Linked DNA regions of Ovis aries. The protein of the gene in region 4 interacts with the protein of the main gene of each other region in a pairwise test. Links are inferred from orthologs where the notes say so. Each region holds a gene or a part of one and is shown on either strand. Other genes may lie near its edges. The genes, in order: TRIM38, SETDB1, E3 SUMO-protein ligase ZBED1, UBE2I, RNF40, PIAS3 and HNRNPC.

Region 1 (3,500 bases), on a different chromosome or scaffold from region 4:
CTTATCTCTCCTGCTATTCTTTGAAACTCTGCATTCAGATGGGTATATTTTTCCTATTCTCCTTTGCCTTTCCCTTCTCTTCTTTTCACAGCTATTTGTAAGGCCTCCTGAGACAACCATTTTGCCTTTTTACCTTTCCTTTTCATGGGGATGGCCTTGATCACTGCCTCCTATACAATATCATGAAACTCCATCCATAGTTCTTCAGGCACTCTGTCTATCAGATCTAATCCCTTGAATCTATTTGTCACTTCCACTGTATAATCATTAGGGATTTGATTTAGGTCATAGCTAAATGATCTAGTGGTTTTCCCTACTTTCTTCAATTTAAGTCGGAATTTGGCAATAAGGAGTTCATGATTTTTGCCACAGCCAGCTCCCGGTCTTATTTTTGCTGACTGTATAGAGCTTCTCCATCTTTGACTGCAAAGAATATAATCAATCTGATTTCTATATTCATCCATGTGTAGAGTCTTTTGTTGTGTTGTTGGAAGAGGATATTTGTCACGACCAGTGTATTCTTTTGGCAGAACTCTATTAGCCTTTGCCCTGCTTCACTCTGTACTCCAAGGCCAAATTTGCCTGTTACTCCAGGTATTTATTGACTTCCTACTCTTGCATTCCAATCCCCTGTAATGAAAAGGACATCTTTTTGGGGTTTTAGTTCTAGAAGGTCTTGTAGGTCTTCATAGAACCATTCAACTTCAGTTTCTTCAGCATTACTGGTCGGGGTATAGATTTGGATTACTGTGATATTGAATGGTTTGCCTTGGAAACGAACAGAGATCATTCTGTCGTTTTTGAGATTGCATCCAAGTACTGCAATTCAGACTCTTTTGTTAACTATGATGGCTACTCCATTTCTTCTAAGAGATTCTTGCCCATGGTAGTAGATATAATGGTCATCTGAGTTAAATTCACCCATTCCAGTCCATTTTAGTTTGCTGATTCCTAAAATGTCAGTGTTCACTCTTGCCATCTCCTGTTTGACCACTTCCAATTTGCCTTGATTCATGGACCTAACATTCCAGGTTCCTATGCCATATTGCTCTTTACAGCATTGGACGTTACTTCCATCACCAGTCACATCCACAGCTGGGTGTTGTTTTTGCTTTGACTCCATCTCTTCATTCTTTCTGGAGTTTTTTCCTCCACTGATCTCCAGTAGCATATTGGGCACCTACCAACCTGGGGAGTTCATCTTTCAGTGTCCTACCTTTTGCCTTTTCATACTGTCCATGAGGTTCTCAAGGCAAGAATACTGAAGTGGTTTGCCATTCTCTTCTCCAGTGGACCACGTTTTGTCAGAACTCTCCACCATGACCCATCCATCTTGGGTGGCCCTAGATGACATGGCTCATAGTTTCATTACCCTCATTAGTGTTCATACTCTTATGGAATTCCTTCCCTTTGATTGTGGGCAGGACCTGTGAATTGTTTCCAACCTGTAGGCTATGGCAATAATGATGAGATGTGACTATATTTCACTCTATAAGCCTCTCTCTTTCTGGCAGACTTGCTCTAGGGACTCTCTCTCCCTGTAGCTTACTTTGCAGAAATAATTGGCCGAGGTGGGAGGCCCAAGTGCAAGCAGCTGAAGGGTGGCTTCTAGAATCCAAGGCAGCCTCCAGCCAGTAGTCAGCAACAAGCTAGGGCCCTAAGTGCCAAACCCAAAAGAAATAAATTCTGCCAACAACCTGAGTGAGCTTATAAGAGGATTCTTTCCCAGTCTCACTTCCAGATAAGAACACAGCCAGGCCAACACCTTAGCTGCAGCCTTGTGAGACCCTAAGCAAAGGACCCAACTGGGTCTGCACAGATAACCAGTATCCCATGTCCCTGTCTAAGCACTGGAGAAAACTAACAAGGGAGAATGACAGCTACACTAAAGATACCTGAATAACCTCTCTGGCTGTGAGCCTGCCTGGGGACAGGTGATGAACTTCATTACCACTTAAGGTCCCGTCTATCTGTAGCATTTAGGGCTTCTTCACATACCTTGATGTCTCCTTAACATTTTCTTTACATCAAAGTAAAGCTCAGAAACATTGCACACAGTATGAAGGTCCAAAGAGAGGGCCTCTGGTTGTTCTAGCTTCACAGCCCAACTCCTAGAATAAGCAGAAACCAAAACTTCTTCAGTGTAAATTCCATTTAACTCTGTATACCCACACCTCTTTCCCTCCTGAACTCATATAGGACTCACCTGCTCAAAGTATCTTTCACATCCTATGAAGAGACAAAGACAAAAGATAAGTGTGGGAACATCAGTATTTCATGGGACTTGGCATGTGAGGCTGTTCTCTCTAATACTCCTTCCAAAGAAGTAAAAAAGACTAATCCTGGACTTAGATATTGATGAATACCTAGAGATGATGATTTCCATCCTGGCCCCATGGAATAGTCAGCATATCAGGGTGTTTACTTTCCTTGCTATGTGGAAGAAGGCCAGGAGCTTTGTCCCATGCTCCCTCTGGAAAGACTTGCTTTCAGTGACCTCATTTCCTTCAGAGTGAGCCCATATTAGAGACACTTATTGCAAAGGTCCAAAGTAGTGAACCCAGGCTTAAGCCCTGAGACTGGGCCACTATGGTGGTAGCAGCAGGTATCACATGGTGGTAGGGCATCGAACTACATTCTCATCCTTACAGGGTGACCCCTAGTTCTGTTAGTAGGAACAGGATAAAACAGCTACAGTCATAGTTTAGTTTATTGTAATGGGCTGGATCCAAAAGAGCTCTGGAGGGCTCTACAAGCAAATCAAGGAAAAAGTAATCACTCATTTTGACTGTCCCACTTTGTCACCCATCAGTCATCTGAAGGGGTATTTCAGCAGACACTTTCACAGTCAGAGTTTTGTAAACATGGTACAGAAATAAATGGTAGCCAAAGTTGTCCCATGGTTCCATTTAGCCAAGGAGCCCACTATAGCCATATTATTTCTAATTCAGCTAAAGGCACTCTATAGACTGGTGGGGGCCACCTTGCAAACATTGATATGTATCTAAAAGGAACATTAAATTTAAATTCCCTACACTAATGTGCCATTTTTGAGTGAAACAGGCAAGCCTCACCAAGCTTCCCATGGTTCCTCACCATTCTCCTGCTGAAAGGTCAAGAACAAATACCTTCCCTCCTTACTCCAAGTGCATGGTCTTACCTGAAGCAATTTCTGGGCTGAGCACTGACATTTATTCTCTAGCTCCAGGATGTGGCTCTGGAGTTCATGGTTCTTCTGTTCAAGATTGGCCTCATTGTCCCTCAGTCTCCTCAGAGTTTGCTCTTTTTCTTTCTCCAGTTTCCATAGATAAGACTTCTCTTCCTCATGAAGGAAGCTCTGGAGAGTCTTAAAGTCAGACTGGATTTTTTGTTTCCGAACCTCTATCTTCTCCTTGAGTTAGGAAAAGTGGAAACAAACCAAATGCCCATTGATGGATGAACTGATATGCAATCTATAGATACAGTGGAATACTATTCAGTCTTAAAAAGGAATGGCATTC
Region 2 (2,507 bases), on a different chromosome or scaffold from region 4:
TATTCCAAGGACAGGGGACTGTTCACCACCTGTAATGTGGTAAGTTTCAACATCATTAAAAATACGTTAAGATCAATTCTTGTTTTTCTACTATAATGAAAGCAACGATGTAGATAAACTGAGGTAGCAGTTTTAAAAAATTATTTTTAAATCCTCCACTTTGGAATGAATCAGGTACTCTCCCCACAGCAGGCTGACTGTAAAATAATTTGGTTCTTTAAACAAACATGGGGTTGCAAGAATCAGACATGACTTAGCAACCACACCACCATAGGAATGTATTAGGGGGAAGATTAATCAGGTTTGCCATAGAAATCCATCAAATAAATTATCTGCATATGAAGACTCATGGTGAGGGAATTCCTTGGTGTATCCTGTGGTTAGAACTCTGTGCTTCCACTGCAGGGGATACAAGTTCGATCCGTGGTCAAGGAACTAAGATCCCCAAGCCATGTGGTATGGTCAAAAACAATAACAAAAGCACTCATGGTCTCATGGTGAGATTGCATTAAGTTTGTCACCACATCAAACTTATATAACCGCCACAATTCTCCGAGTTCCCTGCCACTGCTTACCTCTTTCTTGGCCTGCTTGATGTCTCCCTCATCCTTGAAGCCCAGCCCTGAGGTGGAAGCCTTCTCAGCTTCCCCTCTGCCTCCCCCAGTGCGGCCTTCCCCACCTTCACTAGTCTTGAAGGATGAACGGCTATCAGAGTCAGCAAAGCCACCTTCACTGATACTGTTGCAGCTCAACCACGAGGCCACTTTGTTCTTAGATGTCTCTTCAGAGGAAGGTGGATTGCAGCCACCTACAGGGATTGATGGAGGGACAGGAATATGTGGGGGCCCTAGGTCTGGGGGGCGAGAGTCCTTGGAAGACATCTCAGACAATCCATTCTCCTTCTGGCCCCGGGTCTGCCGTCGGGTAGCATAGCTGCGCCACACCGAGCTGGTGCTGAAGTCCTCGTCCTTACAGAAATTGTCATCTGAGCTGTCGTCATTGGACTCCTCGGGGTCCTCTGTACCGCTGTTGCCATCTTCCTGGTCCTTCAAGTCTACACCACTGCTGTCAGAGGAACAGGGGGCATCACTCTCATACCCCTCCTTGAAGTTCTCCACGCTCTCAATATGGTCCAGATTGGCAAAGTACTCATCACCCATTTCTAGGCCCTCCTTGTCAGCAAAGTCATCTGTCAGGATCTTCCCTGGGAATGAAGAGAAAGCCTTCCAGGGTTATGAGGAGCTTTTAGAAAGAATAAAATTCATTTCATCAATACCCAGCCCCATACTATAGAGTCAAATAACATTCATTATGGTCTCTTGTTTCTCTTTGATGATACCTCCTCCTTAGTGTCTTAACGGTGAGAGTAAGGGGAGCTTTAGATCTTGCCCGTTCTGCCACCCCATTCTTCCTAAGTTATGCTAAATCTCTGTGTGGAGTGATGTAGGAAAAAAATGACACATGTCAGTTTTTCTAAAACCATGTCTCTCTCTGTTGAAACATGTCCACAATTTTATCCCTTTTCATTCTTGTTCTCCTGAAGCACTTTTGACCCTTCCGGATTCACCCAGACAGGGGCATCACTCATGTTCTTTATAGAAGAAAATCCTGTCTTCTTTCTCCTAGTTCACAGGTTAAGCATTTTATTCTTAAATTCAACTTGTCTCTGATTCAACGTTCCACCATGTTCTAACCCCAGAAAGAAACCCTTTCATCACCAACCTGCATAAATACAGACAAAGGAGCCTTTGGCAATATCATCCAAGCAACGGATACCCCAGCCCTTGTTCTGGGTCTTGAAGAGCTGCAGACGAACTTGCAGGCCATGCTGTACCAACCGGTTTGTGCACATGTTAGGGTCACATTTGCAGCGTTTGTTACACTCATAAACTCTGGGAGGAGATCACAATAAAATCAATCATATCATGATCACTAGAGCATCTGTTATATTCACAGAACTGTTACAATTTTTAAGGTGTCATCATTTATCAGGCGATGATCTAAATAAGTAGACTTACTGAACTGTCTATGCTCTTCGATTTGTTTGGAAATATAGCTCAAAGAAATAACTCAGAAGGGGGAAAAGTGATTAATACAGATATAGCACTAAAGACAGCAACAGTGAATAAAAGAATGCCTAACATCTGGAGAAAAGCTAAGTGAACCAGGATGTGAATATAGATTAAGAGCCGTTAAAATAAGTCAGCTTGTAGAAACTGATACAATAAAATATATTTAAGGAAATCAGAAGCCCATATAGTAGACACTGAAAGGGAGCAAAAGATGAGGAACTGGAAGTTCATGGGACTCTTGCTTTTGGTACTGATTTTCATTCTTTTATTCAGCGAACATTTATTAAACACCAAGAGCTGTACTAGACAGTGGGAACACAGCAATGGAAAAGGTCATGATCTCTCCTCTCAGGGAGCTCATTTCTATCTAGTTCAAGGTATTACAACTTAATTATTTAAAAAATAAACTATTGAAGTTAATCAGAGAGAGCCAGT
Region 3 (4,213 bases), on a different chromosome or scaffold from region 4:
CTTTGCGACCCCAGGGACTGTACCGTCCATGGAATTCTCCAGGCCAGAATACTGGGGTGGGTAGCCTTTCCCTTCTCCAGCAGATCTTCCCAACCCAGGGATGGAACCCAGGTCTCCAGCTCTGCAGAAGGATTCTTTATCAGCTGAGCCACCAGGGAAGCCCCCCAAAGGCACTTTATTTGACAGTCAAACAGAGAGGCAGGGTCCTGCGGGCAAGCCACTGAGTACGATTATAATAATAAAGGGGCTCCCCTGGTGGCTCAGACAGCAAAGAATCTGCCTAGAATGCAGGAGACCTGGGTTCGATCCCTGGGTCAAGAAGATCCCCTGGAGAAGGGAATAGCAACCCACTCCAGTATTCTTGCCTGGAAAATCCCATGGGCAGAGGTGCCTGGTGGGCTACAGTCCATGAGGTCGTAAAGAGTCAGACAGGACTGAGCGACTTTCTTTTTTTTTCTTCTTTTTCTTTATAATAATAAAAACCGAGTCAAAGAAAATAGCTTCCAACATGGAGTCAGAATTGGTGACTTCCTCCCTGTAATATTTCCACATTAATTATTGTATACTGTGTGCACATTTATATAGGCCATACATACTGTTAAAAAAGAAAACATCTGATGTTTAAAGGCAAAAAACAGAACTCCCCTGGTGGTCCAATGGTTAAGACTTGGCCACTTCAATATCGGGTTCAATCCTGGGTGGGGTTGCTAAAATCCCTTATGACTCAGGGACCAAAAAACCAGAGAAACATAAAAACAGAAGCAACGCTGTAACGAATTCAATAAAGACGTTAGAAATGAAACAAAACAAAACAAAATCCCAGCTAGTCTGCATCTGAACTGGGCCTCTGGGTTACAGTTTATTTAGCTGCATACCTGGGCAAAGTTCAGTGTCTGGCCCGCCAGGATCCTCTGTCTGTGGGATTGTCCAGGCAAGAATACTGGAGTGGGCGGCCATTCCCTTCTCCACGGAATCTTCCCCACTGGGATCGAATCCTGGTCTCCCGCCTTGCAGGCAGACTGTTCGCTGTCTGAGCCCCCAGGGAAGCCCGCAACCTCCCCTGGGTGCTCTGCAACTTAGGGGCAGTGTGGGGCAAACATGGGACTGCTCTTCAGAGCCCTTCACTGTTTACAAGTCAGCCCAGGTGCCAAAGCTGCACTCTGCCTTCCACTCTGCCTTCCTCTGCAGTCTTTTCCAGTCATGCTCCGTGTGCTTTTTAAAAAACAGCACCAAAATGCAGTTTATCAGAAAACTAATCGCTTAGCTCAACATAAACCTGCGAGATGTATCTCCCCGGGTGAAGACCCAGGGAGGGTAGGAAAAAAAGTGCTCAGAGCTGCAGGTGTGCAAGGCCTGGGCCCTGCTGGGCCTTCCTGCAGGTGGAGGCACGGGAAGGCATTTGCACAAGCATAGTAACAGCCTTTCTGTTTTTCCACCCCAATCTCCCGGGGGTGGCCAGGGTGGTCAGGGGCGTTACCCACAGGCTGCCGGGTTGGGGGGGAGGGCGGTGTGGGCTATGCCAACACCCTTGAAAACCCAGTTGGACTTAAGAATCTCTGTCTCCTCTTACCCCAGATAATAAAGAGAGTCATTACAAGGTAACGGGACACCGCGCTTCCCAGAGAATACTTTGTTTCCAAAAGTAGCTGTTTTTCTCCTAAAAAAATTGACATGTCATTTACGGCACACAGACCCTAGAGTTATTTTGACACTCTGCAAGTCAAGAACAGACAGAAACACCGGTTTCCTCGATCGAAGTCCTGAGAACACCGAGGTGACCAGACAGACGGAGACTCCCTCCCAGATTGGTGGGGAAGGGAGGTGGGGGGGGGGTCCCTAATATGCGTGAAGACGCGAATGGGTCCCCGCACCGCCAAGATTGGGCCCCGAGGCTCCGCGCAGGTGGCGCAGGCCAGAGAAACCGGCGGCCACTAAACTGAAGCTCCCCTCTCCAGGGCTCCTAGACCCCCTAGAAGCCGCCTCCAGCCCCTTGGCGCGCCCCCCAACACCGCCCCAGCCCCCCAGTCCCTGCAAACCCGGGCAGGCCCCGTCCTACTGGAGCCCGCGCGGGGCCGGGATCTCGCCCCCCCGCCCCCGCCTCCCTCCGGGATGCGGGTCTGCAGAGCGCAGGGACCCCGGGGTGGGGTGGGGGGGCTCCCGCCGTGGTTGGGGCGCGCACGGATCCCCTGGAGAGACCCCAGCCCCCGGGGCGCTGGGGAGGGCGCGCCTTCCCCCAAGCCGACCCCCGCAGGCCGCCCGGCCCGGCTTCCGGGAGCGCCCGACGCGGCGCGCACGAACCTGCGACCCCCGGGCCAGGGCGCGCGGGACCCCCTGGCTACCCCGGCCCCCGGGGCGCGCGCGGAGCGGGCGGGGCGGCGGGGAGGGCGCGCCTCCTCCCCCCGCCGGGCCGCCCGGGCCTGCTTCCGGGAGCGCCCGACGCGCCCGCCTCCCCGCGCCCCTTCCCAGCTCCGCCCCGAACCTGGGGGTCCTCTGCACGGGCGGAGGGCGCGCCCCGGGCCCGGCGACGCGGGCCCCCGCCAGCCCCCTGCCGCAGCCCCGCCCGCGCCGCGCGGCCCCGGCCCCTCGCCGCCGCTCCCCGGCCGCTGACCTGGCTCCACGAAGCCCCGCACGCAGCGACGCAGCAGCTGCGCCACGACCAGCGCCGCGCCCACCGCGTACACCCGCAGGGCCGCCCGCGCCGCGGACAAAGGCGACATGGCTGCCCCGCCGCCGCCGCCGCCGCCGCCGCCGCCGCCGCCGCTTCCGCGCCGCCGGCCGGACTCGGAGCCCCGGGCCCGACGGCGGAAACGCGCCCGCGCCGGCCCGCCCCGCGCCGCGCCCACGCCCCGCCCCGCGCGCGCGCGCCCCCGACTCCCGCCCCGCGCGCGCCCCCGCCTCCCGCCCCGCGCGCGCCCGCGCCCCCGCGCGCCCCCGACTCCCGCCCTTCGCGCGGCCCCGCCCTGCGCGCACCCCCGACTCCCGCCCCGAGCGCGCCCCCGCCCTGCGCGCACCCCCGACTCCCGCCCCGAGCGTGCCCACGCCCCCGCGCGCCCCCGACTCCCGCCCCGCGCGCGCCCCCGACTCCCGCCCCGCGCGCGCCCCCGCCCTGCGCGCACCCCCGACTCCCGCCCCGAGCGTGCCCACGCCCCCGCGCGCCCCCGACTCCCGCGCCCCCGCTCCCCGCGCGTCCCCGACCCTCCCGAGCGCGCCCCCGCCCTGCGCGCGCGCCCGACTCCCGCCCCGAGCGCGCCCACGCCCGCGCGCGCCCCCGCCCCGCGCGCGCCCCCGACTCCCGCCCCGAGCGCGCCCACGCCCCCCCCCGCGCGCCCCGGACTCCCGCCCCGAGCGCATCCCCGCCCTGCGCGCGCCCCCGACTCCCGCCCCGAGCGCGCCCACGCCCCCACGCGTCCCCGACTCTCCAGAGCGCGCCCCCGCCCTGCGCACGCCCACGGCCCGCCCCCCCGCGCGCGCCCACGCTCCCCGCCCTGAGCGCGCCCCCGACTCCCCAGCGCGCCCCCGCCCCTGCTCGCGCCCTGAGTCCCGCGCGCGCCCCGACTCCAGCCCCGCGCGCGCGCCCCCGGCTCTCCCGTGCTCCCCAGCCCCTCCTGCACGCGCCCCCGTCTCGCGCGCGCGCCCCCGACTCCCACCCCCCCTGCCGAGTGCGCCCGCGCCCCAGCCTCGCCTGCCCGCGCCCCCGACTCCCGCCCCCCGCGCGCCCCCGCCCCGCGCGCAACCCCGACTCCCGCCCCGAGCAAGCCCCCGCCCCCACGCGTCCCCGACTCCCCAGAGCGCGCCCCCAACTCCCGCCCCGAGCGCGCCCCCGCTCCACTGCGCACGCCCCTGATTCCCACCTCGCGCGCGTCCCGGACTCTCCACGCGCGCCCCCGACTCCCGCCCGGCGCGCGCCCCCGCCCCGCGCGCGCCCCCGCCCTGCGCGCGCCCCCGACTCCCGCCCCGAGCGCGCCCCCGACTCCCGCCCCGAGCGCATCCCCGCCCTGCGCGCGCCCCCAACTCCCGCCCCGAGCGCGCCCACGCCCCCACGCGTCCCCGACTCTCCAGAGCGCGCCCCCGCCCTGCGCGCGCCCCCGACTCCCAGAGCGCGCCCACGCCCCAGCGCGCCCCCGACTCCTGCCCCGCGCTCGCGCCCCCGCTCCCCGAGCGTCCCCGACCCTCCCGAGCGCGCCCACGCCCTGAGCGCGCCCACGGCCCGCCC
Region 4 (3,971 bases):
CAACACAAGGGAAAGCGAGCGTGAAACTCTAGCTCCCACGCAGGAGGCCTGGTGACAGGAGCTGCTGCCCGGCTCTGACCACTGAGGACACTCTTCAAAGGCTCTAACCCTGCCCAACCTCAAGATCAAGTCCCAAGCAAGAAGGCCCACACCCCAAAGAGAATTTCTCTTTGCCACCCCCGAACCTCCAGTCCTGGCCCGCTCACCTCCTCCTCATCTGTGGACCTGATGGACAGGACCCTGTCTGGGGTCTCCTTCCCTACACGTGCACACCCATCTGGTATTTTCATTCATTCATGTGATATAAGTTGAAGACCACAAGTGCGGCTGCCCGAAGGCTGACGTGGGCGTGCTGGTGCCCCTGGGTCCTAGTGGTGGTTGCTGGCCACCTGGGCACTGCCTGCAGCACCAGACTGTCCACAAACAGGACAGAGTGGGAGATGCTGGGGTCACTTCCCTCAGGTGGGGAGCTGGCAGAGCAGAGGGGAGTGCCAAGCAGCTTTCAAGTCCATGGGAACATGAGGGCAGTAATCCTGAAGCCTGAAAACCCTTCACTTCACATCACCCTTCTAAACAGAACTTGCCCCCGCCTCATCACCAGGGCAGATGGGAACGCCTCTCCCTCCCCTGGTGGGGGCTTAGGGATGTGCGGAAATCCTACAGGAGCCCCTCACGGGCCAGGACCACCTCTAAACTGTCCCACACGGGAGCTCAGTGGCAGAGACAAGCAGCCTGGCTCTCCGTGCACTGTGAAGTTCCTGCTGAGTCTGCGCTCAGCAAGGCTTCAAGACTGGTTCCTGGAGCCTGGGCAGCACATGGGTTCTGGAATGGGCAAGCTGGCACTCGAGGGCTCTGGAGCGGCATGGCTAGGCCAGGATGTAGAAAAGGCCGGTGGGGTGATCCTCAGTGCCGCATGCCTGCTGACCGCATGCCAGGACCCCGCCACAGGCCACCTCTTCTACTGACAAGGAACAAAGCCGCCTCAGCAGACCCTGTTGGGGCGCCAGCTGTGACTGTCTCAGGTGCAGAAAGTAATGGGAGGGGTGTCCCACAAGAGCTGCTGCAACCCCGTCCTTGGGGGTGAGAACCAAACTGGGCACCTGAAAGACAGATGCTGCAGCCATGGCGGAGTCACAGGCGCACACCTGCCCCCGCCCAGAGAGAGGCTGGCCTCGCTGCCCAGGAGAAAGCAGCCAATTTGCTACATTTTAATTACAACACGGAACCACTCCTTCAGCATCCCACTTAGAATCCAATCAGCTTTTCCCAACTGACAGGGAGGCACTTAAGGAGCTGTTAAGTGTGCGCAGTCTTCAGGGCAGCAAAATCACTAAGAGGCAAAGATCGGGTATCTATGACCTGCTAGAGACAGCCTGAAGCACAGGATCCGGGTCTGGGGCAGACCCTTGAAGTCTGCAGCCACCCTTCTCCAGCGTGGGCTGTGCTTGAACCCACGCTTCTCAGATCAATCTCTGAAGCCACTTACCGGCTGCAGGTGAGGGCCAACGGCTTCCCTCTTCCCCTTCAACCTTCTCACCGGTAAAACGGGCGATAGCACTGTGAGCCCAGAGGTCGGCCCAGGATGAAACCGATAGAGGCTCGCGGCCCTTGGTGGGCTTTCCCACCCAAACGTAAGCTCGCCAGGAGAAGGAAGGCACTGGCTTCACCTGCGCTCAGGAGATCCTCCAGCCCAGGGGCACTTCCCTGGTCTTTCCTGACACGCCTCCCAGGACGCCCAGCTGTTTCCAAAGCAAGCCCAAACCCCCAGCGAGACTCACGTGCAGCACGATGCAGAATTCACCCCCAACCCACCCAAAATCAAGTCAGCACAAACGTGGGCTCCTTCTCCCCCTGCTGCTGGGCAGGTTCTCCGTCCAAAGGCAGTTTCCTTGGGAGCAAGAAACACAGAGGACCACGGGCTTAAGAGCAGACCAACGAAAGCCAACTCCGCAAACCGGGGAGAAACTGCCAACGGAGCTTGTTTTCAAATCGTACAAACCAAACCAGTTACTTCTGTGATTCAAGGACAGCTGCTGGCCGTTACCATCAGCCCAGCTAATCATTCCCTCGCCTTCCTCTTACTCGCGAAAACTATCAGCTCCAGCCGCCGTGCAATTGGTATAAAGCGGTCTTGGGACGAGATCTCCCCGTCAAGGGAAGAGCGAACACTCGGTGGGTCCCCCGCAACGGCGAGCGGAGCTCGGAGGCGCAAGAGCTCTGGCTTGTTTTCGTTTCCAGGCATCACACGCCACCCCCAAACGCGCCGGCGCTCCTGCAGCGCGCGGCTTTGCACTCTTTGTGCAGCGCGTCCTCTACCAGGCTGGAACGCGCCACAGGTTCGCGCGCAGACCGTGACCCCGGAAACGCTCCGCCTGAGCGGAGGGCTTGGCGCTCCTGTCAGCGCGGCCCGAGCCGAGCGCGCCGTCGGCCGCCCCGGACGCGACTCGCCCCGAGCGCGCGCCCGGAGAAGACGCCCCCACCTCGCGGGCCGAGGCCGCGGCGGGCCGGGGGCCGGGCTACCCGAAGGGAGCCCGGCGGGCTGGCCCCCGCCGCGGCGTCAGCAGCCCGGGGCGGGCCGGTCCCCGGGAACGGGCCGGGCCGCGCGCGGAGGGCGCCTGCCCGGCCGGACCCGCCGGCAGCGGAGTTTTGGGCCCCCGCGGCCCGGCGCCCGCCCCGCGGCGCTCACCTCGGGCGGCCCGGCCCGGCGAGCGAGGCGTACTAGGCGGCGGCGGCGGCGGCTGCGCTCCCTTTGTCTCGGGACTTCCCTCCCGAGCCCGCTCCGCGCGCAGCCCGAGCGCTCGAGGACCCCGGCGCGGGCGGGGCGGGGCGGGGCCTGCGGGGCCTGCCCGCCGCGCGCCTGGCTCGCACCCCGCCGCCGCCACCGCCAGCCCCGCGCCGCCCGCGCCGCCGAGCGCCGCCCGCTGCCCGTGTCCCGCCGCCGCGCGCCCGCGCCCCGGGCCCCGCTCGGGAGCCCGGCCCGGAGGCGGCTTTCCAGTCAGGCGGCGCCATGGACACCTGCGTCCTTAAAGGGGCCGCGTCCCGGGTGTGAGGGAGCGTCTGCAAACTCCCCTTCGCGGGGCACTGTTCCTCGCGAGGACCGGCCGGGTAGCGGCGGGGAAGCAGGGCGGCCGAGATCTCCCCGGGCTCTCCGGATGCCCCGCGGGCACCTCCCCAGGCAGCGGTCCCGGAGGTCTCCTCGAGGCTAGGGCCCGGGGCGGAGGAGCAACGACCACTGAGGCCTAGGGATCCCCCAAGCGTCGCAGCACGGTGACAATCTCTCGCCTACGGCATGCTGTGAAACCCCTTGCGATTGGCCAACTCGGGGCCCTGGGCGGGGCATCCGTCTAATGTGCCCAATGAGCAGGCCCCGTACACAAGACCAAGTGCGGGCCCGACCGACGGGAGGAGAAGTGCAGACGCTCCCTAACCCAGGGGCTGGCCTGGGGGGAGGGGCGCCGGGTGGTCCGGGCGGGTGGGGGAGGAGCAGGGGCAGGGCTAGGCCCCTGTGGCCGGGGTCTCAGGTCCGCCCCGAACCCACGCGCGAACGCTTGTCCTTCCCGGCCACGCTGGGCGCCTCTCCGTCTAGCGGCCCCCGACCCCCGTCCCCTGGCCCAGAGTGGGAAAGAGGGAGCGTTCCAAGGTCAGCCCCTCCGCCCGTGGGCTCTTTGGGGTCAAGTGGCGGGAGGTGACCGCCCCCCCACCCCGGCCCCCAGCTTGCATTCATTCACCCCTTCGCCCTGGGTCTCCTCCTTCCTCCGTTTCCTTCCATCCTCCCCACCCTCACCCCCGGCAGCCCCCTATTTGGCACTGTACTGAGACTATTGGCCTCCAGGGCAGACCGCCCAGCACCGCCCCCCCCCCCCCCGCCCCCGCAAGGCTAGTGTCCCAAGGCCCACGTCTGGGCCAGAGCTCTCAGCAGGTGTTCAGCGCTCCCAGCCCGTCTGTTACAGTGAGGATGGTCACTAGCCCTG
Region 5 (3,500 bases), about 26 Mb from region 4:
AGACGCAGGCCTTGACCCCGGGGGCCCAGGGACCCTCTTCCCGGGGCCGAGAACCTGAGGCCAGACCCAAGCGGGAGCTTCGGGAGCGAGAAGGGCCTGTTCTGGGACCCCCATCTGTAGCCTCGGCTCTCTCAAGGGCTGATCGGGAGAAGGCCAAAGTGGAAGAGGCCAAGAGAAAGGAATCAGAACTTCTCAAAGGTCTCCGAGTAGAGCTCAAGTGAGGTCCTGTTCTTTTCTCCCTCCCACCCCTGCCCAGTGACCTCCAGCCCTACTCACCCAGCCTTCCTCCTGTGCCTCCCCCAGGAAGGCCCAGGAAAGCCAGAAGGAGATGAAATTGCTGCTGGACATGTATAAGTCTGCGCCCAAGGAACAGCGGGATAAGGTGCAGCTCATGGCAGCGGAACGCAAGGCCAAGGCTGAGGTGAGGACAGGTAGGGTCTGTGGGATGTGCAAAAAGGCTGCCCCAGGGCAGGGAGTCGGTGACCAGAGTTGAGCCCTGGGTTAGCAGGAAGCAGTGATGAGAGAGCTCCCTCCTGGAGGTTATAGGTTGATGAACTCCGGGGCCGCATCCGGGAGCTGGAGGAGAGGGATCGGAGGGAGAGCAAGAAGATTGCGGACGAGGATGCCCTGCGGCGCATTCGTCAGGCAGAGGAGCAGATCGAACACCTGCAGCGCAAGTTGGGTGCCACCAAGCAGGTGCGACCCCCCACCCCACCCCACCCCTCCCCTAGCTTTGAATGTTGGCATTCCTTAAACCTCCTGGTCTAGCACATGGCCTGGGTCCACTCTGGGGGTCTTTGTACAGCCGTGTTTTCCTGCGGTTTCCCCATAGTTGATCTTGTCCGTCTCCCACGTTCCATCTTGCCCCTGCCCACTTGCTGCAGGAGGAGGAGGCCCTGCTGTCAGAGATGGATGTGACAGGCCAAGCCTTTGAGGACATGCAGGAACAAAACGGGCGGCTGCTCCAGCAGCTGCGAGAAAAGGACGACGCCAACTTCAAGCTGATGTCAGAGCGGATCAAAGCCAACCAGATTCATAAGCTGCTGCGGGAGGAGAAGGATGAGCTGGGCGAGCAGGTTCTTGGCCTCAAGTCCCAGGTAGGGCTGCCCCAGGCTTGGTAGGGTGGGACTGGAGAGGCAGGGGTTCCCTAGCACTGAGGCCCCACTCCTGTCCTCAGGTGGATGCCCAGCTGCTGACCGTGCAGAAGCTGGAGGAAAAGGAGCGAGCCTTGCAGGGCAGCCTTGGGGGTGTGGAGAAGGAGCTGACACTGCGCAGCCAGGCCCTGGAGCTCAACAAGAGGAAGGTGAGGCAGATGACCTGGGCCAGGGCCTGGCTCTGCTGCCCTACACAGCCCCGTTCACTCTCAGACACTTAATGTGTGCCAGACCCTGTGCTGAGGACTTTCCCTGTTGGGTCATGTTTCGCCTTAAAGTAATCCTACAGCAGTTTTCATTGTTATCTCCTTTTCTGTGAGGGAGAAGGCTGAGGTTTAGGGAGGTAGTTGACTTGCTCAAGAAAGAGTGGAAGTGGAATTTGGGCCCAGCTCTCCTTGACTCCACAGCCCATATCCTGACCACTGCACTGTTTAGCTGTCTCTGTTACATAGTTGTATTAACCCTAAGAAATGTCTCTAGCTCGTGGTAGTTGTTCTTCTGAGGGGAACAGAGTTAGGAATGACATCACTCCTCCAGGTCATAGTAAAGGCTTAACATGGATTTTCATCTCTTTTCTTCTCCTGGACTTCTCTCTGTTTGGTCCATTCGTTTAAGCAGCATTAGTCATGCTCTTGCTGTGTACCAGTACTGCACTGAGTGCTGGGGAGATCACAAGAACAAATCACCTCTGCTGGAAGTGGGAGCTTCCAGTTAGGAGGGGCAGAGAGCAAGCCGATAATCCCACAGATTAAGTAACACTGTTTCAGATCACAGCATGTCTTTGTTTGGCTGCAATGCACGGCAGCAGTGAAGGCCCGGAATTCTAACCACATAACCGCCAGGAAACTCACAGCATGTCTTATGAAGGAAATAGAACTGTATGAAAGGAAAACAGGAGAGCCTCTCTCAGGAGGTGACATTTGAGCTGAGGCTTCAGGGAACTTCAGAGAAAAAGTCTGTGTGTTGGCGGAGTTGAGGGGAGCAGAGAACCCTGTGGAGGCTCAGAGACAGGAGAGAGGGTTATGCAGGTCAGGAGCCAGAAGTGCTGGGAATGAGGAAGACGAGGAGGTGAGGCTGGTGGGGTCAGGAGACAATCGGTTTCAGTGAACATATTGGGACTACTCCCAAGAGCAGGAACCACTGGACAGTTGACATAAGCCTCTGTGGGCCATGGCTCCACACACTTGATTCCCCAGGCTCAGGCCAGCTGTGCCCCTCCTCCCCATTCCACCCACCTCAGGCTGTGGAAGCAGCGCAACTGGCCGAGGACCTGAAGGTGCAGCTGGAGCACGTGCAGACACGGCTGCGAGAGATCCAACCTTGCCTGGCCGAGAGCCGGGCCGCGCGGGAGAAGGAGAGCTTCAACCTCAAGAGGGCTCAGGTGTGTGGTCGGCAGGGGGTGGAGGCAGGGCCGGGGCCAGCAGGTTTGGATTGAGGACCCTTGCACTCAAGACTGCCCCCTCTCCTGCCCCAGGAGGACATCTCCCGGCTGCGGCGCAAGCTGGAGAAGCAGAGGAAGGTGGAAGTTTACGCAGACGCTGATGAAATCCTCCAGGAGGAGATCAAGGAATACAAGGTAGGGCTGTGGAGCTAAGTTCTGCCCCGTGAACCTGGGAAATCTCAGATTGGGGGTTGGTGAGAGCTCCAGGGGGTAGTCCGGGGAACCCAGAAATAAGGTAGGATAGCAAAACCTGGGCAGAATCCATTGTGGAGAATCAAGAGAGCTCTCAAGTGTGGTGCACATATACTCCATACCAGGTAGAGTGCTGAGTGTGGGAGGAGTGGGACCTATACCTGACCTTGGGTCTCTTGAAACTGACAGTCTGGTGGAGGAGGCAGCCAAGTAATTCTTCCCTCTGAGTGATGAGCAGTGTGATGGCAAAGGCCAGAGGGGTTGGGGGCAGTCAGGGGAAGCCCTTAATAGCCCCTGAGCACAGTGGGGAGTGGGGCACGGTCAGCCAGCTTCCTGAAGGCATAGCCTCCAGGGGAAAACGGAAGAGAGTCAGGGTTGGCCATGAGGGATGGAGATGAAAGGGTCCAGCAAACGGAGAGGTGGAGGTGGAGGCCCCTAGTTGAGCGAGGCGTGCTGGAGGCGCAGCTGGACAGCGGTAGCTAAGAGGACAGAACTTGGGCTTTTGATGAGTCACAAGCCTGGGGGGTGGGGAGGGGCCATCCTGAAGGTTAGTGAGCCAGGTTGAGATTCTTGGTTTATTCAGTAGTCAGTGTGGAGACATCCAAGGGTTTTAGGCTGGAGAGTTATGTCTCAAGTATATTGAGGATGAGGTACTTACTCGTGGGACTTCTGGGGAGGCTGTCTGGGAGGACAAAGCGAAGGGCTGATGTGGA
Region 6 (4,091 bases), on a different chromosome or scaffold from region 4:
CAGGAGAATGGTGAGAAGGAGGGCAAAAAAGAAAAGAAGAAAGTCAGAGAGCGGAGTCTCAGGGTAACCACCCAAGGATGAGGCAGGAGGACTCAAAGAGACAAACCTGGAAGTAAGAATCTGCTGCACTTGCTGGGGGGTGAGGGCAAAGGTGAAGTGCGCTTCCTCAAACCGCTGGCTAGAAGTGGATGCTGAGGACACAAAGGGGCAGTTATTCCCAAGCCCGTGCCCAGGGGGCCACAGAAGTGGCCCCTATTCCAGTTTGCTGAGCCCACAGGACAAAGCCTAAGAAAGGCTTGAGGAAGAAGCAGGGAGGCCAGGAAGACCCAGGGACCACAAAGAGCCATACCTAGGGTGGTGGGCCGGATGAGCTCCCCGTAGATTTCATAGAAGGGCAATGGTTTCATGGTAACGTCAGGGTGCACAGGCTGGGGCAGAGGAGGGTGCATGTCCACTTCACGCTTGGGGCCCAGCAGGGTGCCAGGGGCCAAGAGGGCCGGGGGAATGGGAGCCAGAGGACCAGGAGAGCCTACAGGAGGGGTTCCAGGGGGCAAGGAGAGCAGAGAAAGATCAGAGGGCCCCAGGGTCTTGCGGGGAAAGCGTCGGCGGTAAAGCTCTTTGATCTTCATCTGGACGCTGGGGGCACAGCTGGACTTGAGGAGGTGTAGGGCCTTGGCCAGCAGCTCGTGCTTCCGTCCGCTCTTGTTCCGGCCAGCAAAGCCGAGGAGCACCTGGAGCTCAGACACCCGGAAACTCATCACCATGTGCTGTGGAGATCAGAGAAGCTTGAGGATCCTACCTTGCACAGGCCTGTCCTGCCAAAGACACCAGGGCTGAGCTATTAGGTGGGGAATGTGCTTTCCCTCCAGCACTGATCTGAAAGATGCTTTGCAGCCAGTGGATTGCTGCCAAACTGCCCACCTAGCCAAAAGGACATCTAGCTCCCATCCTAGCAACCCTCAGGTCACCTCTCCACTACCCCCCCAGGCTTGAACAATCCTGTCTCCCCATCTTATCAGCTGACCATGTGGGCGCAGGGTGCCTGCCACCCTACAGCACACCTCTGAGTCCACTACAGCCTCCTCCCACCACCCTGCCTTGAGCCTGGACTCTCCTTTAAGCTGCTTATCTCCTCTCCTGCTCTTTCGCAGACTCTCAGACCCATCCTAGCCTCCTGGGAAGGGGACAGGAGACGGGGAGGAAGGGGAGAAGAGGATTCAGGCCAGACAGCCCCACAGAGAAGAAAGGGGCCAGGTGGCTGGAGGACTGTGCCTCAAAATCAACTCCTTTCCACCCCTCAATCTACCTCAGCTATTTTCCCCAAGCTTTTGTGGCCAGGTCAGGGTTCAATGCTTATAACTTCCCAAACCTTTCCTTGGTGTTATTTACATAACTACTCATCCCTCAGTCCTATTTTTTCTGGGAGAGAAACAGGAGTAAAACTTGGGGTGAGGGGTTAACAGTGAATTGTGGAGTCCAGGTATCCTTCCTGTTTACCTGTTTACTCCATCTGCCAGGAACTAATAACCTGCTTCTCTCCTACCCAGAGAAAGTAAGTGATTCTTCCCTTCCTCCACAGGGGTGGAAGAAACGAGGGGAAAGCTCTAAAGAGAGCCCCTGGAAGAATAGGGAGGTGATCAGCCCCTGAGCCAGACTGCAGAACTGCATGCTCTCCTAGGAAACTGGAACCAGTGACTAGACCTCAGGCCTTCCCATGACTCTGGTTCCATTTCAAAAGGCAGAATAAAGCCAGGAGCAAGGGGGTGAACCCCATGGTTTTTAAAGGTTCTGCAAGATGGTTATTTATCCTCAAGATTCTGGTAGTGGTAAGCTCTCCGCTTAAAGAACTCACTTCTGTGAATCTCCAGGAGACCCTGCCACGGGCCAATCTTGCTAATCATCTGCAATTCTTATGGAGGCATTATGGCTTTGGGCCCCTTTTGAGGAATATAATTAAAAACTTGCTCCTCTACCTTTACCCTCATCCTTATCTCCTCGGTCCTGTCTTTATTTCTCCATTAGCTTTGTCAAGAAATTCTTTTCAATCCCATAGTCTAACACTTCTCTCTCTCTGCCCAGAGATACCGACTCACTAAGGCAGGACCTTCCTCTCAGCCTCCAGGATGCTTCTGCCCCACCCCTTCGATCTATCCCCGTACAGCCCCGCCCCCTAGATCTCAGCCACCTACTGGTACTTCCCAAGGCTCAGATCCCAACAGCAGCCCCAAAGTCACTATCCTCTCAGCGCCTTTCCCCCAGGAGCCTCCCGGTAATCGGCCCCCCAGCCCCATTCCCATCACCTGCCCCCTACTGTCACCTCTCTAGGCCTCGATCGACTCGCCCGCTGTGCCTCCACAGCAGCTTTTCCTCCCCGCCCTACCCCTACATCTGCCCCTACTACCAAATTCGACTTCTACCCCGCGTCCCCGCCCCCTGAGCCTCGGCCCCCAACAGCTGCAATTCCCCTCGGCCCCACCCCTACATCTGCCCCGCGGCCCCGCCCCCGGAGCCCCACGCAGCCCCTTCCTCGCCACAGCCACTTCTCTCCATCCCCAGCAGCCAGTCCCCACCACGTCTCCAGCCCCCACCCGAGCCCTCAGCACCCAGTCTCGGTCGCTTCCCAGACTCGGCGTACAGCCCGGCTCAGTCCAGATGGGGATGGGGGAGGGGGCCGGTACCTTTAATTCGCCCAGCTCCGCCATCTTGAGACATCGCAGGCGCCCGAGCCCGAGCCGGAGCTCAGGCCCAGGGACCGGCGCACAACTCTCCACCCCGGCGCCGGCCGCAAATGCCGCCTGCTCCGCCCCGTCCGGCCCCCTACACCTCCCCTTCCCGGCCCCGCCCGCCGGGTTTCGGACGAACCCCGGCCTCAGCCCCTCCCTCCACAGCCGGACCCAGCCGCTGCACGTCTTTGGCCGCGGTGCCAGACCCGTAGACCCGGAGGGAGTGTGCCGCCCGAAGGATCGCGGGGTCCCCGGTGGCATGGGAGAGGAGGTGAACCCGAAGTACATGGGGGAGGGGGGCCTTGCCACGCCGGAGTCGGGAAGGGATGAGCTTTGAGAAAGCCAAAGATATTTGGGATATGGAGGGAAAAGTCTCGAGAAGGGCTTAATCTCAGAGAAATGGGGGAGGGGGAAGCGAAGTTGGAGCAAACCCCCTCGTTTCCCTATCTACAAGTTTAACCAGCCAAATTCAAGAGTTCCACCAACTCGGGAAATGGGTGAGACCTGATCCATTTTAGGGACGCCAAGGAGTCGTAAATAGTTTATTTCAAGACGGCTATTCTCAATTCTTCACCCCCTCCCCCCGCCCCGGTTACATTGTATTTCATGGTCCCGCGGCAGGGCTCAAATTCGCCAGCAAAAAAGTTTCGTGCCGAGAGTGGGACTTACCAGCACAGTTGCAGGGAGCGGGGAGGGGACTCGGGACGCTCAGAGGGTGGGCTGGGGAGATGGGGGGGAGGGGGCCCGGCGCTGCTCCCAAGGTCTGCACGGCTGGAGGTCGGTCCGGCAGCTGGACGTTGCAGCCGCAGCTCCGCCCGGGCGGGAGCTCGGCCCGGCCCAGCGCTAGGGTTGGGGCCGCCCCCTCCTGGATGAGCCCGCCAGGACAGCGGAGAAGTGGGGAGGGGCGGAGTCTGAGACGGGAGAGGGCGGGACTCTGAGCCTGCGGAGGAGAAATTAACTCCTCTAGGGAGTGGATGGGAGAGACGTTCTTTGATTTCACCATTCTCACTACTGTTCTGACTCCCTGCAAGCAAACCCTTCTATGTGTTTTGAGTGGAAGTAAGCTGCAAATAAGACGGTGTGGACCAGAAATCCGATCGCTTAAAGAGGTAGCTACTTACAGTGAGTCTCTCCCTACGGGAAAGAAAACATGAACTGCTAAAATCCGAAGTGTACCTAAACCCTACTTCCACCTGTGGTCCCCTACTCCCTACCTCAAATACACAGACTGTCACCAGAGACTTAAGAGCTTTAATGTAGTTGAAGGTGAATGGAGGGGAGGTTTTCTCACCGAGAAAGGGCAATTTTTCTGCCTCTCTCTGAACTGCCTACTCTCCTTCCTCCAAAGCCATAGACCCAGTTCCCTTG
Region 7 (3,500 bases), on a different chromosome or scaffold from region 4:
TTTTTCATTAGGCCTTAAAAGCCATTTTTGCAAACAAATCTCCACTTCAATCCAAGTTACTTGTCTCCTTGATTCAACACCCACCCCAATGAAACCTAAGTTGAAGTGTATGTTGGTATGCATAATAATTTTGACTCAAAGATATTTATCTAGTACATTCTAGGGGTTTTGTGAAGGCTGCTGTGAAACAAAGAATTTGAAGTAAACAATTATAAAATACAAAAATAAAAAAATCAGGGTATTTATTTTTTCTCCAAATTCCTGGTTTAATAAGGTCTTGTTTATTTTGAGAAAAAAAGGTCCCAAACATCAGGCTGTTCACAAAAATAACCCACAGTATCAACTTTAGAAAACAAATCTTAAGACTATTACACTAGTTATTTTTCTAGAGGATGCACTTAACATGCCAACTCTCATTCACAAAAATACATTGTTACATTTGTGTTGAACAGCCCCACACAGCACTCTTATGTGGGGTATAACACACATACCTCTAACTCAAAGCTGCTCTCAGGTTCTACTCAACTAATGAGACTGCCTTTGTAGTTAGGGAAGCAACTATTGTATGAATGGAAAGAACTGTACTCCCTGTATAACAAGAGATTATTTTGGAGACAGTTGATAAAAACCATACATCCTTTTTATTGTTAAGTCATAAAGAGGTATCAAAATTAAAAGCAAAAATTACAGGGTAAGACTTAACGTAACTACTAGGAGGGTCAAAGGAAGTGAAAATGGGACTAGGCGCAGGGCAATATGAATTAATGAACATGGGAAGGACAAGGATGGGGAGAACAGTGAGCATGTGCTGAAGATACTAGGGGAGAGGATCTGGTGAAAATTTTGATCTTAGACAAGCGCCTAGGTAAAGAAATAATGGGACAAGATTTCTAAACCCCGCTATGTGCTTAAGAGTCATCCTCGCCATTGGCGCTGTCTCTGTCATCCTCTCCTTCCTCAGCCTCTTTTTCATCATCCTTGATCAACTCCAGCTGTGAGAAACAGACACAAATAGGATGGAGTTAGAGGCACTCCATGTGTCCCTGATCCCCCCTCCACCACCTCTTTCTTTCCTTTCCCGTGGTTTTCACCTGGTCATCCCCCCGATCTTCATTATCATCATCATCCAGTAGGTCCCCCTCCTCAGCAGAGTCATCTGCACCCCCCTCAGACTCCATCTTCACATTAGTCTCATCTTTCTTCAGGGAGCTGCTGCTCTGCTCCTCTTCTGACTTATCATTCTTCATCTCTACTGGGGATGAGAAGGACAAGTCTGTCTAGGGGCAAGTAATGTCCACAGGATGTAGACAATCCCCACTAACAGATCATAGAACTGCAGCACAAATCTAAATCCTCCCACAAAATGCCCTTCCCAATTCAAATTCCACAAGTTTCATATTCAATTGCTTTATACCCCACTATTTCAACATGTACTTGCAACTAGCTTAGGTAACTAACTCTACTTTACACCCAACAAGCAATAGGACCACTTACCTCCTTGTTTGCTCTGTTCTTTTTCAATTTTTTCCAGGCTTTCCAGTAAAGAGTCCACTTTTTGTTTTATCTGGGTTAACTCCTTCTTAATGGTCTGAAGGTCATCTCCTTTCACTTAATACAAACAAAAACCTAGATTAAAATCAGATATACTAGAAGCTACCAGATAACCAAACACATTCCCCCTCTAGACTATACAATGGTAGTCAACATGAGATCCTTGAAGAGAAATGGAGCCTATACCAGACTGTCCTAGTAATGACGTGGGGGTGGGGGTGGGGGGCGCCTCACTGATCTTTTGATTATTAGATGAAAATGGAATCTAATGAATCTATTCCCTTAGGAGCAGCATTATTACTTTTGTAAGCCTGCTAAAAAAAACCCCCTCAATTCTATTTTAAAGCATTTTCTAGTTTTAGAAACATTATTTTATACACTGAATGGGTGTTGCAACTCCTTAAAATCTAATGACTTTTTCAAATTACCAAGGCCTTAAGGACAAAGGCTGCCTAGAGCTGACCCCTTAATCACTATTTTCTCATCTTCCATTATTTGATTAAACAGTTATTTGTACAAACATAAAAGTTTTGAATATTAACTGCGTTGATCTCTGAATTTCAACATACAAGAAATATCAGAACCAGAAAGCTGCAGTAATAATACTTACACTTTCCAGACTTAGAAGAAGATCCCCGCTGTCCACTCTTAGAATTGAAGCCACTTTTGCCCCTTCGTGAGGTGTTTCCTGATACACGCTGGCGTTTTGAGGGCACTACAGCCCGAGCAATAGGAGGAGGAGGAGGAACACGTGCTGGGTAACTGTACATCCTATTGGATAAAAGGAAAACAGAATTTCTTCACAAAGAAGTCAGGAAGATTCCAACAACTGTATCCTTATAAAATGATATATATTATTGTCAATTGTCTAGCAATTAATTCTTTTTGCTATGTTAATTTCATTCATAAGGCCAATTTATTCTTTTTAATACTGCAACCGCACACATACACACAATGGTTGCCTTAAGCTCTGGACATAAAGGTTCCTGTGTACAATGGCATTATTGATAGAACCTTACTTTTTGCAATGAATGGCCTTTGCCTTTCATCTTATTCCTTTCATATATGTGCTACAGTATTATAAGGAAATAAAGTACTCACAAATGACTACAATTAACCAACTTTGCAAACAGTGCTCTTATTAGCTAAATCCCTGGCATTTTCATCCACAGAAGCATACAAATATTTATCACTAGTTTATAGTATTAGGTTGAACCATATAAAACTTCCATGATTAACTGCTTTTGGCCTATAGAAACAGGCATTTCATATGTATTAGCTGGGTGTACATACCACTATCAATTCTAACAACATTTAGCATAAGCTCCGCTCAAAGCTCCAACAGAGGATATTGTCTATCTTGTTCACCATTCACTAGTGCCTAAATTCATTGCTCAGCACACATTTAGCTCTCAAAAATTACATATTTTTCAACTGCTGCTTCCACTGAGTAAGTATTCCTGTGACTGCTAAAGATATACCAAAGTGATGGCATGGTACTGGTGCTTACATTTGTAAAGAGAAAAAAATAAAACAAAAACCTTCCCACAAGGACATTAGTTCCAGAAAGTCTTTTTATTCTATGTTATTCTTTTTACGAAAGCCTGTAGGGCATAAGTTAAAACGTACCAGTAGGAAAAAAAACTAATAATTCTAGTTCTGAACCACTTTATTGACTCCAAGGCCAAGGAACAATCCACCAACTGTTCCCCCACCTAACTTCAAAGCGATGAAATTTTAAAACCCTTATATAATGTGATGCATCTCCCTCTTATATGCCTCATCAGTAGCTAACAGTCTCCAATCCTGGCAGTGAGAACATTGATTCTGCAGTCTCACAGACATTTCTTTCTTCTGCTCAACCTTAACAATATAAAAATGTTTCTATTCTGTTTTAACAAGGCAAGTAGGTATGACAGGAACATTTTCCTAATTTAAGAGTATGTGTG

What was found.
Region 1: the proteins of UBE2I (region 4) and TRIM38 interact in a two-hybrid assay, tested with the Homo sapiens proteins (2 studies listed by BioGRID). The two-hybrid records come from large-scale screens. The link is inferred for Ovis aries from reciprocal best matches to the Homo sapiens genes UBE2I and TRIM38.
Region 2: the proteins of UBE2I (region 4) and SETDB1 interact in a two-hybrid assay, tested with the Homo sapiens proteins (2 studies listed by BioGRID and IntAct). The link is inferred for Ovis aries from reciprocal best matches to the Homo sapiens genes UBE2I and SETDB1.
Region 3: the proteins of UBE2I (region 4) and E3 SUMO-protein ligase ZBED1 interact in a two-hybrid assay, tested with the Homo sapiens proteins (4 studies listed by BioGRID and IntAct). The link is inferred for Ovis aries from reciprocal best matches to the Homo sapiens genes UBE2I and ZBED1.
Region 5: the proteins of UBE2I (region 4) and RNF40 interact in a two-hybrid assay, tested with the Homo sapiens proteins (2 studies listed by BioGRID). The two-hybrid records come from large-scale screens. The link is inferred for Ovis aries from reciprocal best matches to the Homo sapiens genes UBE2I and RNF40.
Region 6: the proteins of UBE2I (region 4) and PIAS3 interact in a two-hybrid assay, tested with the Homo sapiens proteins (2 studies listed by BioGRID and IntAct). The link is inferred for Ovis aries from reciprocal best matches to the Homo sapiens genes UBE2I and PIAS3.
Region 7: the proteins of UBE2I (region 4) and HNRNPC interact in a two-hybrid assay, tested with the Homo sapiens proteins (2 studies listed by BioGRID and IntAct). The two-hybrid records come from large-scale screens. The link is inferred for Ovis aries from reciprocal best matches to the Homo sapiens genes UBE2I and HNRNPC.

The regions. Positions count from the first base shown.
Region 1 is NC_056073.1:30,919,585-30,923,084, forward strand, and holds part of TRIM38 (E3 ubiquitin-protein ligase TRIM38), read right to left. Parts: intron 3,392-3,500; coding exon 3,161-3,391; intron 2,230-3,160; coding exon 2,207-2,229; intron 2,112-2,206; coding exon 1,999-2,111; intron 1-1,998. UniProt on the Homo sapiens protein: E3 ubiquitin-protein and E3 SUMO-protein ligase that acts as a regulator of innate immunity. Acts as a negative regulator of type I interferon IFN-beta production by catalyzing 'Lys-48'-linked polyubiquitination of AZI2/NAP1, leading to its degradation.
Region 2 is NC_056054.1:100,911,274-100,913,780, reverse strand, and holds part of SETDB1 (histone-lysine N-methyltransferase SETDB1), read right to left. Parts: intron 1,893-2,507; coding exon 1,723-1,892; intron 1,205-1,722; coding exon 576-1,204; intron 1-575. UniProt on the Homo sapiens protein: Histone methyltransferase that specifically trimethylates 'Lys-9' of histone H3. H3 'Lys-9' trimethylation represents a specific tag for epigenetic transcriptional repression by recruiting HP1 (CBX1, CBX3 and/or CBX5) proteins to methylated histones.
Region 3 is NC_056080.1:6,131,382-6,135,594, reverse strand, and holds the start of E3 SUMO-protein ligase ZBED1, read right to left. Parts: upstream 2,801-4,213; 5' UTR 2,718-2,800; coding exon of another isoform or gene 2,609-2,717; intron 1,956-2,608; exon of another isoform or gene 876-1,955; intron 1-875. Other genes in the region: dehydrogenase/reductase SDR family member on chromosome X, read right to left, coding at 2,609-2,717.
Region 4 is NC_056077.1:1,566,025-1,569,995, reverse strand, and holds the start of UBE2I (SUMO-conjugating enzyme UBC9), read right to left. Parts: upstream 2,801-3,971; 5' UTR 2,687-2,800; intron 2,323-2,686; exon of another isoform or gene 2,083-2,322; intron 1,860-2,082; exon of another isoform or gene 1,779-1,859; intron 1-1,778. UniProt on the Homo sapiens protein: Accepts the ubiquitin-like proteins SUMO1, SUMO2, SUMO3, SUMO4 and SUMO1P1/SUMO5 from the UBLE1A-UBLE1B E1 complex and catalyzes their covalent attachment to other proteins with the help of an E3 ligase such as RANBP2, CBX4 and ZNF451.
Region 5 is NC_056077.1:27,407,019-27,410,518, forward strand, and holds part of RNF40 (E3 ubiquitin-protein ligase BRE1B), read left to right. Parts: coding exon 1-217; intron 218-303; coding exon 304-421; intron 422-546; coding exon 547-696; intron 697-884; coding exon 885-1,097; intron 1,098-1,177; coding exon 1,178-1,303; intron 1,304-2,394; coding exon 2,395-2,535; intron 2,536-2,628; coding exon 2,629-2,730; intron 2,731-3,500.
Region 6 is NC_056054.1:99,195,480-99,199,570, forward strand, and holds the start of PIAS3 (E3 SUMO-protein ligase PIAS3), read right to left. Parts: upstream 2,801-4,091; 5' UTR 2,703-2,800; coding exon 2,679-2,702; intron 816-2,678; exon of another isoform or gene 768-815; coding exon 350-767; intron 192-349; coding exon 107-191; intron 1-106. UniProt on the Homo sapiens protein: Functions as an E3-type small ubiquitin-like modifier (SUMO) ligase, stabilizing the interaction between UBE2I and the substrate, and as a SUMO-tethering factor.
Region 7 is NC_056060.1:24,263,353-24,266,852, reverse strand, and holds part of HNRNPC (heterogeneous nuclear ribonucleoproteins C1/C2), read right to left. Parts: intron 2,323-3,500; coding exon 2,162-2,322; intron 1,609-2,161; coding exon 1,495-1,608; intron 1,253-1,494; coding exon 1,092-1,252; coding exon of another isoform or gene 1,023-1,091; exon of another isoform or gene 993-1,022; coding exon 909-992; 3' UTR 1-908. UniProt on the Homo sapiens protein: Binds pre-mRNA and nucleates the assembly of 40S hnRNP particles. Interacts with poly-U tracts in the 3'-UTR or 5'-UTR of mRNA and modulates the stability and the level of translation of bound mRNA molecules. Single HNRNPC tetramers bind 230-240 nucleotides.